3 linked regions of the Cricetulus griseus genome follow. The protein of the gene in region 1 purifies or fractionates together with the protein of each later gene. This does not show direct contact. Links are inferred from orthologs where the notes say so. Each region holds a gene or a part of one and is shown in the gene's direction. Other genes may lie near its edges.

Region 1 (4,592 bases):
ACAGTTTGGAGATTAGCTTGGCCTACACAGTGAAACCTTGTTGCAAAAAAACCCCGACTGGAGCCATCATTGTTTGCTCACTGCACACAGTATCAGTTAACAGGAAAGTGTTATCTTATAGCTGAATTTCCCATTCTTGACAGGTCAATTTATGCCATCTTGCTGGCACTGAGATAGATGGGGTTTTAGTCAACCTTCCTAAGGTTATGAGTAGCTATGAGCCTTAGACCCTTGACACTCCAATTTAAGCATTGCTAGTAGTTACAAAGATTTATGTAATCTTAAACCATGAGTATTGGAATGGCAGGACAAGTTTGGGTATTTTTATAGATCAAGCTGTCTGAAAAGCCTGAAGAGGCAGAGGAAAATTGTTGCAGTAATCTGGGGAATTAAAGACACTGTTCTGGACAACGCTGGTAGACATGGAGAGTAAGAAAGTAGACATAGATTGGGGATATATTTAGATCTGGGTGCTTCCTTGAATGGCGCTCCATTTTTTCTTGGTGGAATGACTTTCACAGAATGAAAGAAATTGATGTCACGATTTTTTCAGTAGTATCTGAATCTAGCTGAAATAATATACTATCTCTTATTATAGACATTTTAAAAAATGCTGCAATCTATTATTATATCTGAGTTGTTGATCAATTCAAAGTGTAACACACTTTTCAAGTATAAATGTTCAAGTTTTTTTCTGATAAAAAAATCCTAATTCATCACAATCCAAGGTCAGGGATTTCTAGGAGGTAATTCCTTTTTTTTTTTTATTAGTTCAAATTAGGAACAAGCTTGCTTCAGATGTCAATCCCTTCTCCTTCTCCTTCCCCTGCCCCCCAGTATCCTCTAGGAGGTAATTTTAATTCAATCTCCACACTCCTTGCAGACACCCGCCTTTCTCCTCCTGAGTTCCCATTGGCTCCTGAGGTCAGCCACTCTCCACGACCAGCGCGGTTGCTGGCCCAGCCTGGCTTCACAACTCTCAAGTACCTAGTCGCTCTCAAAACCCCGCCCACTCCCCAACGAAGTTCCTCCCACTTGCCCGCCCACCTGAAAATCCCCTTCCACCGTCTTCGCGCGCGACGGAGTTCACTTTCTCCCATCTGTTTGTCGAAGCTCCGCCCCCTCTACCGCTCGCTCGCTCGCGAGCCTCCGCCCACTTCACCGGCCCGCAAAGCCCCGCCCCCTTCTGCCCGTACCCCAACTCCTTCCCTTCTTCCGTCGTTTCTACCTTTCCCCGCCCCCACAGCTGTCTTTCATTGGCTAAAAAGGCTAAACCGCGCGGGGATGCAGCAGAGCCACATTCTGATTGGCTAAAGGCTCAGCCGGGCCCCTTGTCATTGGTTGATACGAGAAACCAGCAAGAGTGGCTGTGCAGCGGGCGTGCGGCCGCTGCTTTGTTGCCGGAGGGGGCGGCGTTGGAAGTTGCAGGGCCAGCGTTCTCGGGAAGTGGAGCCGCGGCCGCTGCTATCTTTCCCTCGGTAGTCTTCGGCCAGTCCCCGCCCGACAACAGCCATGAGCGGCGGCGTGTACGGCGGAGGTGAGTGAGCGCGGCAGTGCCTCGGGGCATGCGGGCCGGAACGACCGGCCCGGTCCCTGGCCGCTTCCGTTTCCCTCCGGTCCCCGGCGGGCCCTTCCGGTCTTTGGCCGGTTCTTCCGGTCCCCGTTCGGGTCAGGGCCTCTCCGCCTCTTCGGACCCGGAGCCCGCGTGCAGTGGGCTCTCGGAGATGGCCTCGAGGGAGGACCTTGCCGCATCTTGCCCCTGGGGCTCCAGGACCGGCGGGACTCTGATGGCAGTCACCTGGCTTGCGGGGTCCCTTTCCGTACCGGTTCCTCCGCGTGTTCGTCCTCCGCAGCTCGCGGAGGTTTCGGGCCCTCGGTGTGGGCTCTGGGTGCGAGTCGCACCCGGTGTTGACGCTGCTGCTCCCGATGGTGCAGCAGCTGCTCCCGACTAGATCTGGTTCCTGGTGTGTCCGGTCTCTAGATGAGCGGAGCGCTGAGGTACGCGCTGCTGTTCCCGTCCAAATGGGCAGGAGCCTTTTATAGATTGGTGGTAACGAAATCAAGGCTCCCAAGTACTTGTTTATTCACGTGTAACTAGTTAGGGACTCTTCTCTGCTTGGATGCTGACAGAAGATGGGGCCGCTGTCCCCCGCGTTAATGAAGAAAGTATTGGAAAAGTTAAACAACAAGCCAAAAATTAAAAAAGATTCCTTTGTAAGTTGGGAGCAAATAGTTTCTGGGATGAGGAAAAGGCATTTCAGAAAGGCCATTTCTTTCTCTGCTGTGTACGATAACATGCACCCAGTAGTATCGTCACACACACTACAAATATGTTTCTGTATTGAGTCAGTAGATCAATGCCCACTGGTTTTAACTGCTGTGTAGGGTTTTGTATGAATGAACTGTAGCTTTTTTTTCTAGAAACTGCTAAATTTATATGTCTTTTCCCTGGCAAGAAATATGACAGTAATAATTACAATTAGCTAATTTTTATTGTTATGATTCCAGAGGGAAAAGAGTCCATCATGACAGGGAGGCATGGCAGGCATGGTGGTAGGAGCAGTAATCTCTGAGCTCAGATACTGAAATCAGGCATGAAGCAGAGAAAGCAAACTTGGCAAACTGGGAATGACAAGCCCTTAAACTCAAAGCCTGTGCCCAGTGACTACTTCCTATATCAAAGCCCATACTTTCTAAGTCTCGCCAAATATCATAGGTGATAGGAGACCATTTTCATTGAAACAATAGCATGTATGTTTCCTTTTAAAATAGGAATTGCACTAAACTGGATGTCTGAATAGCTGTGTGATTTCTCTTTGGGTGCCTCTTTGTAGCTAGCACTGAATTGCACATGGTGGCTGTTGTGATTTATAGCTTTAGTTAGCATTATAGAAGAGCTTCTCTTAACGCCTTGGCAATTGAATTATGGTAAATAGCATTGGTATTTTAAATGTTGGGGAAGAAATCCTTTGACAAATCAACACTGAAAGGCCAAAGTGCATTATTCTAGGATGCCTGCTGTTTGGGGTGAAGTACTTGAAAAAGATGAATGGAGGCCTTTCCCTGAATTTGACTGAAAAAAATTGCCAGCTTTCTTACTCAGCATTAAACCATCTCCTAATGTCTAGGATGTGTAGCCTTAATGAGACCTTCATTTAATGCTTTTTATTTGGCCTCTATACACTGTAAGCTCTGATTCTCCATGCTCTCCAGTTTTCATGTTTTGTTGTGTTTCTTCATTACATGAAACATAATTTCTTACATATGATTAAATGGTACTTTGATACACTTTGTTGTGTGTGTGCATGCGTGTGTGTGTGTGTGTGTGTGTGTGTGTGTGTGTGTGTGTGTGTTTTGTTGTTTGCTTTTTTTTTTTGCCACCAGATCCCCTTGTTGTCATTTGCATTCTTCTGTGCTTATTATAGAGATAGCCTCAGTGGTCTGCCTCAGTCTCTGGTTTTAGCTTTGATTTGGTGACGGTAGGATAACTGTACTTCTTGCCTGTACCTTTTGTTCTAGTGTAATCATTAAAAGCTGGTGCCCCTGACCCAAGTTAAAAGTGTTCCAGTTTGGATGCTAGATTATAGAGTCTCCCTGGAGGTTGGAGTCTTATGAGCTTGGTCCTCCCTCCCTGAGCAGGCAGCCATAGCTCACTGCAATGTCATAGCCCCCAACTGCTCTCCCCACACAAAATCTTCTCTCTGAAGTTCTGGTAACAATTCCTTCTTATTTCCTCAGTTTAAAGGATTGCCAGGGCACTGGGCTGTCCCTTCTGCCTTTATTTATTTATTCTGTTGTCCTTTGTGACTATAGGTGTTTATGAACAGTCCCTTTAGTAAGGGAACTTCACTACTTGCTGTCATTGTACCATGTCTTTCCTGATTAAACCTCTACTGGTAAACAAGGTTAAATAAATCTTGGAGGTATATTAAAACCAGGTTTTAGCCAGATAGACATGGTAATGCTTGCTTTTAATTCTAGCACTTGGGAGGCAGAGACAGGTGGGTCTCTGTGAGTTCTAGGACAATTAGCATCACATAGAGACCCTGTTTCAAAACAACAATAACAAAAACTAGCTTAATGATATATGAACATAATGAATTTTTGCAAAGTTTTAAATATTCTCATTTTATACACATAAAATATGTTAGTTGCTAGTCGTAATTCTCTCTCTCTCTCTTTTGGTTTGTTTGTTTGCTTTGTTGAGACAGAGTTTCTCTGTGTAGCCCCAACTGCCTGGAACTAGTTCTGTGTATCAGTCTGGCCTGGAACTCAGAGATTTGTCTGCCTCTACCCTGCCTCCCTCAATGGGATGTGTAATTGTTTTTTAATCTTTTCAGATGAAGTTGGCGCCCTTGTTTTTGACATTGGATCATATACAGTGAGGGCTGGTTATGCTGGTGAGGACTGCCCCAAGGTAAGAACAGTGATGACAATTATTTTAGATAGACAAGAGTCATTTGTACAAAATTAAATTCAAACAGAAACTCAAAACAAAAATGGCAGTAGATACTAGAAACACTGCCCAGTGAAAGTGGATGTTACTTCATACCATGTTTAACTCTCCCAGGTTGATTTCCCCACGGCTATTG
Region 2 (3,716 bases), about 55 Mb from region 1:
CAGTGGTCATGATTGCTCAACAAGCACCTTAACCACTGAGCTAGCTCTTCAACTCGGGAAAATCATTATTCTTAGAAATAGACCTAGTCTGATGGTGCAGGCCTGTAATCATAACTACTCAAGAGGCTGCAGCAGGAGAATCACAAGTTCAAGGCCAACTTCTGTGCTATAGAGCAAGCTTGCCTGATAATTTAGTGAGAATGTCTCAAAATTAAAAATATGAAGGCTGAGTCAGGCAGTGGTGGCACACGCCTTTAATCCCAGCACTGGAGAGGCGGAGGCAGACAGATCTCTGTAAGTTCGAGATCAGCCTGATCTACAGAGTGAGTTCCAAGAGAGCCAGGACTGTTACACAGATAAACCCTGTCTTGAAAAACAAAACAAAACAAAAAAACAAAAGAAAGGAAATTTGTTTTAGTTGGGCGTGATGTTACATGCCTTTAATCCTATCACTGCAGAGGCTGGAGGATCTCTGAGTTCTAGGTCAGTCTGGTCTGCATAGTGAGTTCCAGGACAGCCAGGATTTTGGAAATGTGTTTTAAAAATTAAAAAAAAAGAAGAAGAAAGAAAGTAGAAATGAATTCAAAGAGTTCTTCCCATCTTACTTTCTGCAGGTCGGAAGTCTATGCGTCAATCTACAGCTGAGCATACTCGACAAACATTCCTTCGCGTTCAGGAACGGCAAGGACAGTCCCGGAGGCGAAAGGGTCCCCACTGTGAGCGACCACTAACCCAGGAAGAGCTGCTCAGGGAGGCCAAGATCACAGAAGAGCTCAACTTACGTTCACTGGGTCAGTCTGTGAGGTGCATGAGGAAAACTGAAACCTGGAGGACCAGACAAATGGAGATTGGAGGCAAAATGATTAGAAAGTTCACACTTACTAGTTCCGGCTCGTGGGGTGGCGGTGGTGCACGTCTTTAACCCCAGCACTTTCTGGGGAGCAAGAGGCAGGTGGATGGATCTCTGAATTCAAGGCCAGCCAGAGCTACATAATGACACCATGTCTCCACCCCCAACACACCTCAAATAAAAAAGGGAAACTGTCATCAGGAATTGTATTTCATCTGAAAACTGGACAGACTATGTCTGAGCCAGGAGCAGGTTGGTGGTCGTTTGGGGTTGGGAGAAATGGAAATCAGTGTGTTCCTATCACAAGGCCTCTTCCAGTATTGAGTGGGTAAGGACCTGCTTATATTTGAGAAAGGAAGGACTTCTATAGCTGGCCAGAGTAGCAGTGATTAGATTAATAATTAAGATCATAGGACAGGGCCTAGTGAGATCTGTGATAGCTCAGCAGGTAAAGGTACTTGCCAACAACCCTGTTGACCCAAGTTTGATCCCTGGAGTTCATATAATATAAGCAGGGAACTGACTCTGGCAAGTTGTTTTCTGACCTCTACATGCATGTGCACATGTGCGTGTGCAGATGTACTCGAGAGCGCACACACACACACACACACACACACACACACACACACACACACACACACACACACACACACACACACACACACGTAATTTAATAGATCACCGGCCAGAGCTACCGTGTGGGAAAAGATAGACTGATCCTTCCCTCGTTCTCCTGTTGATCCTCTTGCAGAGACCTATGAAAGGCTGGAGGCTGACAAAAAGAAGCAGGTTCACAAGAAGCGCAAATGCCCTGGGCCAGTAATCACCTACCATTCAGTGACAGTGCCACTTGTTGGGGAGCCTGGTCCCAAGGAGGAGAATGTGGACGTGGAAGGGTGAGTGAACCCCGTCTCCCTGGCTTCTCTTAGAGGTTACTTCCTCCTACAGACGTTTCTCATCCTTCTCTCAGCTTATTCCTTCCTGTTTTGTTTTCTTGAACAGTCTCACTGTGTAGCCCAGGCTAGTCCCAAACCCATGATCTACCTGCATCTTCCTCCTTAGTACTGGGATAACAATTGTGAGTCATCATGCCTTGTTTTTGTTTTGTTGATTTGTTTGTTTGTTTGTTTTGAGACAGGGTTTCTCTGTGCAGCCCTAGAAGTCTCTCAGTAAATCAGGCTGGCCTAGAAGTCACAGAGATCCACCTGGCAATAAAGGCATGCTCTACTACCTCCCAGCATTTTTATTTTATTTTATTTAAATGTAAATCAATATTTTACCTGTACGTATGTCGGACCTGGTGCCCATTGAAGCCAGAAGAAGGAGACAGATTTCTTGGAACTGGAGTGACAGGTGGTGTGAGCCGCTGTTGGGTGCTAGAAGTGAAACCAATTTCCTCTGGGAGAGTAGCTGGTGGTACTCTTAAATGCTGAGTCGTCTTTCCAGCTCCCTGCCCAGCTTTTTGTTATTGAGACAGGTACTTGCTCTGTCTCTCCAGTGGCTTGAAGCTCAGGGGAGTCATCTTCCCTCAGCCTCTCAAGTACTGACAATACAGCCATGTACCACACCACACCCAGCCTGATTCCTTGCCTTCTCCTCGGCATTTTGTAATTTTTCTGTCTTTTGCCCTCAGACTTGATCCTGCTCCTACAGCTTCTGCACTGACTGCACATGCTGGCTCTGGACCTGCTGTCCCTCCTGCTCACTGCTCACGTACCTTCATCACATTCAGTGATGATGCAACATTTGAAGAGTGGTTTCCCCAAGGGCGACCCCCAAAGGTCCCTGTTCGGGAGGTCTGCCCAGTGACCCATCGTCCAGCATTGTACCGGGACCCTGTTACAGACATACCCTATGCCACTGCTCGAGCCTTCAAGATCATTCGTGAGGCCTACAAGAAGTACATCACTGCCCATGGACTACCCCCTGCTGCCTCAGCCTTAGGCCCTGGCCCCCCACCCCCTGAGCCACTCCCTGGCTCTGGACCACGAGCCTTGCGTCAGAAAATTGTCATTAAATAGATTCCTGCTCCATAGAAACGTCTTTCCTCTGCCGACCTGGCTCTCAGTTCCTCCTCTTCCCTTTGTCCTCGATGAGCTTTGCTGTTTTTTTTTTTTTTTCACCATTTCTTCTCCTAGTTCATTCTGGTTTTGTTAGAATGTTGTTTTCTTTTTTTAATCTAATAAAATGGTAAAATCCTTTTTGTATGGTATGAATATGTGAGTGTATTTGTCTACTTGGGTTGTTTAATTTTGTTTGTGCTAGGATTGAACGCATGGCCTTGTTCATGCTGGACATGTGGTTCACTACTGGGATACCCTCTCACCTTGTTTTCTCACTCTTTCCCTTCTTCCCTCCCCTTTTTCTCTCTTTTGAGATGGAGGTGTCTGTATAGCCCAGGCTGGCCTCAGCTAAGATCTCCCTGCCTTTGCCTCCCAAATGCTAGAGGTAGTCTTGGCTGTCACACCTGTCCTTAGGCCTTTTTATTGTTTGATAGCACTTGATGATATGAGCTGTTGTTTGTTTTTGTCTATAGATGTTTTGTCTGCATGTATGTGAATACAGTATTCACATATGTACATATGATATACACAGAGGCCGGAACATGAGATTGAATCCCCTGGAATGAAGTTACAAACAGTTGTAGCTGCCATGTAGTTGCCAGGTGCTGGGGTCCTCTAGAAGAGCAGCCAGTGTTCTTAACTTTGCCACTTAGCCATTTCTCCAGCTCCTCCTCCTCTCTTCTTCCTCCTCTTCCTCTTCCTCCTCCTCCTCCTCCTCCTCCTCTTCCTCCTCTTTTTGTTGTTGTTTGTTTTTGTTTTTTGAGACAGAGTTCCTCTGAGTAGCCCTAGCTGTTTTGGAATTC
Region 3 (4,125 bases), on another chromosome or scaffold:
GGAGCCATGTGTGATAGACCATATTACTTCTTACTCTGGCTCCCTCATCAAGTTCGGAACTTGGAGTGGCAGCTCTAAATGGGGCATCTGCTGGGAGTCGCCTGGTGTCTCCTTGCCTGTAGCACCTCACATAGACAGAACCAATCACTTAACACTCTGGTTGCTTCTTCCTTTACTTTTTCTCTCACCAACTTCCTTACTGCCCTTTTGAAAATATTTTATTCCTTTTTCTTATATTTTCCTTTTTCTGTGTCTTGTCTTTCCTTGGCCTCGTTTCTATTCCGCAAAAGCAATGTTGTGGAATGGGCCTCAAAAGGCCCAGCCAGGGTCTGCCAGTGCTCAGCGCCTAACAGGCTTCTTTATTTCTATGTGGCAGTCTGGTGAGGACAAGAACAGTAGGACTTCAGTTTGCACATCTTGAGCCACTGTAAGAAAACCACTGTCCCAAGACTACAAAGATAGAAAACTACGAGATAATGTAAAACCTTAAGAGAAATAAGTCTATTTCTAAAGGACGTATTTTCTTTTCTTTTTAAATATATTTGCTAGATTTCTAGTTACCTCCTGTTTCTTATTGGTCATTTTTTTTTTAACCTGGGAGGTGGTCTTTGTGTTGTTTGGATGGGGTACATTCCTGACGTGATAACAAGATCCCCTGTAGGCAGTGTGTGTGTGGTAAGTGCTAAGTGCTCAGAGTCTATTGAATGCTGACTGTATGTGTAATAGTAACTGAGCAATAAAAGGACACCAGGTAATGTCCTAAATGTGAGGCATTTGGCATATAACCCCATTTTCAGGGTATGGTTATGTATAATATTTTATTCTTGCAGCCAGGTTGTCAAACAGTGGAAATAAGCTGCTAAGTAAAACATTAAATATTTTATGTTTAAAATCATTTTCTTTTGATATAAACATTTCTGAATTTGCAGTGATATCTATTTTCTTTGGAGAAAATATAAGAATCTTGTATCCATGGACGAGTAGAAGAAAGGCGCATTAGAATTTTTAAGGAACTTTCTTTTCAGGTGTTAGTGAACTCCTTGCAATTGAATAATGAATGTATTTTAACTCTTTTACAGGCATCCTCTGGTATTACGATTCCAAAGCCTCCAAAGCCACCAGATAAGCCGCTGATGCCCTACATGAGGTATAGCAGAAAGGTGTGTACCAGGGACCAGGACCTGGCGAGGACCCCAGCCCTGCTGACTGGCCTTCCGTGCCATTTCAGACTGGCTTGGTGTCTTCCTTATACATATTTGGGGAAAGGATTAAAAACTTATAATTTTTTTAAGTGGTTCATTCTGATTTCAGAATTCCAGAACTTGGATCCAAGAGGAGCATGGTTAAATAAAATGCTAAAATGTATTAATCAGATTAGTCTGGAGCCATGAAAGTAATGTTAGTATCTTTTGGAGAATATTGGAAAACATGAGGAAAATGTTAAATAGAAAAGCAAATATAAGACTGTATATGATATCTTTATTAAAAATAATAATGTCTGGGATGTAGTTCAATAGCAAAACATTTGCCTACATGTAAGAGCTCTTAGGATCAATTCTAAGAGCATAAAATGAATAAGTATGATCAAATATTATTTGATCATAATTATTACATATATGTTTGATAGTATGATACCATTGTATTATACAAATTAACTACTTGTAAATTTGCATGAACTGTTAGAGATATAGTCTTAATTATTCGGTCAGTTTGCTGTAAGTGTATACTGTGATTACTGATGTTCTTAAATTATCAGTTTGAAGTATTTATGAGTAAAATGACATGGTGTATGAGATCCAGCAGGGTAAAGATGAAGTGAGATAAGCCAGCTCTTGGCAGTTTTAAAGCAGACTGATTGGTACATACTAGTTTGATACTCTGATTTTGTTTGTGTTTAAAGGTTTTCATGGTAGAGTATTTTTAAATGATTATATACTGAGGCATTAATACTGAGTTTTCAACTGTTAACTTTTAAGGTCTGGGACCAAGTAAAGGCTTCCAACCCTGACCTAAAGTTGTGGGAAATTGGCAAGATTATTGGTGGCATGTGGCGAGATCTCACTGATGAAGAGAAACAAGAATATTTAAACGAATACGAAGCAGAAAAGGTATGGGGGGTAAAAATAAAATATTCTATTATTTACGAAAGAAACATAAGGCTGAGGCAGCACTGAAGTTCTGTCCACCAAGTTCCACTCACCTGACATCTGAACCTCGTGTTCTCTGTTCAGAGAGATGATTGTCCCGACACCATGCTTGGCCTCATGCGCCTGACATTCAGATAGTGGATGCAGGCACACAAGGTAGCCTGTAGGATTGGAATTATAAAGCCAACACCCCTTTCCATTTCAGATAGAGTACAATGAATCTATGAAGGCCTATCATAATTCCCCTGCATACCTTGCATACATTAATGCAAAAAGTCGTGCAGAAGCTGCATTAGAGGAAGAAAGTCGACAGAGACAGTCTCGCATGGAGAAAGGAGAGCCTTATATGAGCATTCAGCCTGCTGAAGATCCAGACGGTAAGGGGGGGTGGGCTTTCCTATGTGCATTCTCTCTGAATTAAAATAGAAGATAAATCTTAACTCAAGGCTTTTATTTTAAATGAAAAAGTGTAATTTTAAATTATTTCAATAATAGGATTTTTTTGTGTATGACTTTCTCATGAGAAAAATACTCTTTAAAAGTATGTTAAAATGATTAAGGAAAAAAAGCTGTATTTATTACTTTACAAAGTCTTTGTACTCAGAACATAGGATTTGTTTGTTTTTCAAGACAGGGTCTCACTGTGTTATCCAGATTTGCCTTGAACTGATTCTCCAGCCTCAGCCTCCAAATCCTAGATTATAGGCTTCTGCTGACACACCCTAAGCAACATTATAGTCTTTTTGTTTGTTTGTTTGTTTTATGTGTGTAGCAAGCCTATAGGTTTGTGTGTGTGAGTGCAGCACCTGAGGAGGCCAGAGAGGGTGTCAAATCCTCTGGAGCTGCCCAACAAGCATTCTAGGAATTGAACTGTGGTCCTTTAGAAGAGTTCTACATGCTCTTATCTGCCACATCCATTCTTACAGATTACCTAAATTTTCTCTTAAGTGCAAAAATTAATGAGTGTATGGAAGCATTATAAAAGCTTAATTAAAAATCCAATATGAATTTGAGAATACCACACATGAGATCACTCATGAATGCCTGTCATATATTACACGTCGTCAGGGTATCAGACATTACACATATATTACTCACAGATGGACGGGCTTCCTAATTAGCATTCCATGTGCAGATTACTCTCCTGACCTCCCAGGCAGGCAGTCTACAGTCTCAAGGACACCCCCACCCCCACCCCTACCCCCGAGATAGCCACCTCCCTTTAGGATCATGCTCATCCATGTACTTATCCTGCTGTGTGAAGGTTTACCTGTCTCTGTGTCCTACTGAATGCTGGACAGGATTGGAAGCAGCAACTACCAGCCACAAAAACACCAAGATCATAATTTAAGATCCCACTTTAAACACACCAGAGGGAGTTCTTCAGAACTTTAAAAAGATTTAAAGAGTGGAGGAGGTTATAATGGCACCAAGACAGGAGTAAATTCAGCTAAGTAAGAGGAAGAATCGGAAGTGAGCTTTGAAAGGATTCATTGGAGTTACTGGCAAAAGTTCTCATAAATGCAGTAGAATGTAATAAAATGTAGACTAGAAACAGGAATTGAGTGTTAAGCATTCACATTGCTAAAGATATATGCAGACTTTAATTACCCAGATGAAATAGTTGATGCAAGAAAGACATGACTAAAACTATAGAGGAGCAAGTCTGCAAATAACTGGGAGAATGGAGATCTATGTGGTAGAAACAAAGGTTGGCAACATAGAAGCCATATGTAGAAAATAAAATATTTCCTAAGCAAAATGTAACAGTCAAAACTAAGTTTGAAAGGCTCTTACATGAGCAGTAACATGGAATATAATAATTAAGCTGTATTGATATAATATGACCTTCTAGGACAGTGGTTCTCAACCTTTCTAACATTTTGACCCTTTAGTAAAGTTTATGTGGTAACCCCAACCGTAAAATGATTTCATTGCTACTTCATAACTGTAATTTTGAATTACAGTTATTTTGTTA

The links. The genes of interacting proteins can lie anywhere in the genome.
Region 2: the proteins of Actl6a (region 1) and Vps72 purify together in Homo sapiens (affinity purification with mass spectrometry; 3 studies listed by BioGRID and IntAct, with this or other methods). This does not show direct contact. The link is inferred for Cricetulus griseus from reciprocal best matches to the Homo sapiens genes ACTL6A and VPS72.
Region 3: the proteins of Actl6a (region 1) and SWI/SNF-related matrix-associated actin-dependent regulator of chromatin subfamily E member 1 purify together in Homo sapiens (affinity purification with mass spectrometry; 9 studies listed by BioGRID and IntAct, with this or other methods). This does not show direct contact. The link is inferred for Cricetulus griseus from reciprocal best matches to the Homo sapiens genes ACTL6A and SMARCE1.

What each region holds. Positions count from the first base shown.
Region 1 is NW_023276806.1:116,645,738-116,650,329, reverse strand, and holds the start of Actl6a (actin-like protein 6A), read left to right. Parts: upstream 1-1,360; 5' UTR 1,361-1,512; coding exon 1,513-1,537; intron 1,538-1,741; exon of another isoform or gene 1,742-1,998; intron 1,999-4,340; coding exon 4,341-4,417; intron 4,418-4,570; coding exon 4,571-4,592.
Region 2 is NW_023276806.1:61,380,283-61,383,998, reverse strand, and holds the end of Vps72 (vacuolar protein sorting-associated protein 72 homolog), read left to right. Parts: intron 1-614; coding exon 615-791; intron 792-1,601; coding exon 1,602-1,746; intron 1,747-2,483; coding exon 2,484-2,871; 3' UTR 2,872-2,970; downstream 2,971-3,716. UniProt on the Homo sapiens protein: Deposition-and-exchange histone chaperone specific for H2AZ1, specifically chaperones H2AZ1 and deposits it into nucleosomes.
Region 3 is NC_048600.1:113,354,826-113,358,950, forward strand, and holds part of SWI/SNF-related matrix-associated actin-dependent regulator of chromatin subfamily E member 1, read left to right. Parts: intron 1-1,079; coding exon 1,080-1,160; intron 1,161-1,976; coding exon 1,977-2,108; intron 2,109-2,352; coding exon 2,353-2,524; intron 2,525-4,125. UniProt on the Homo sapiens protein: Involved in transcriptional activation and repression of select genes by chromatin remodeling (alteration of DNA-nucleosome topology).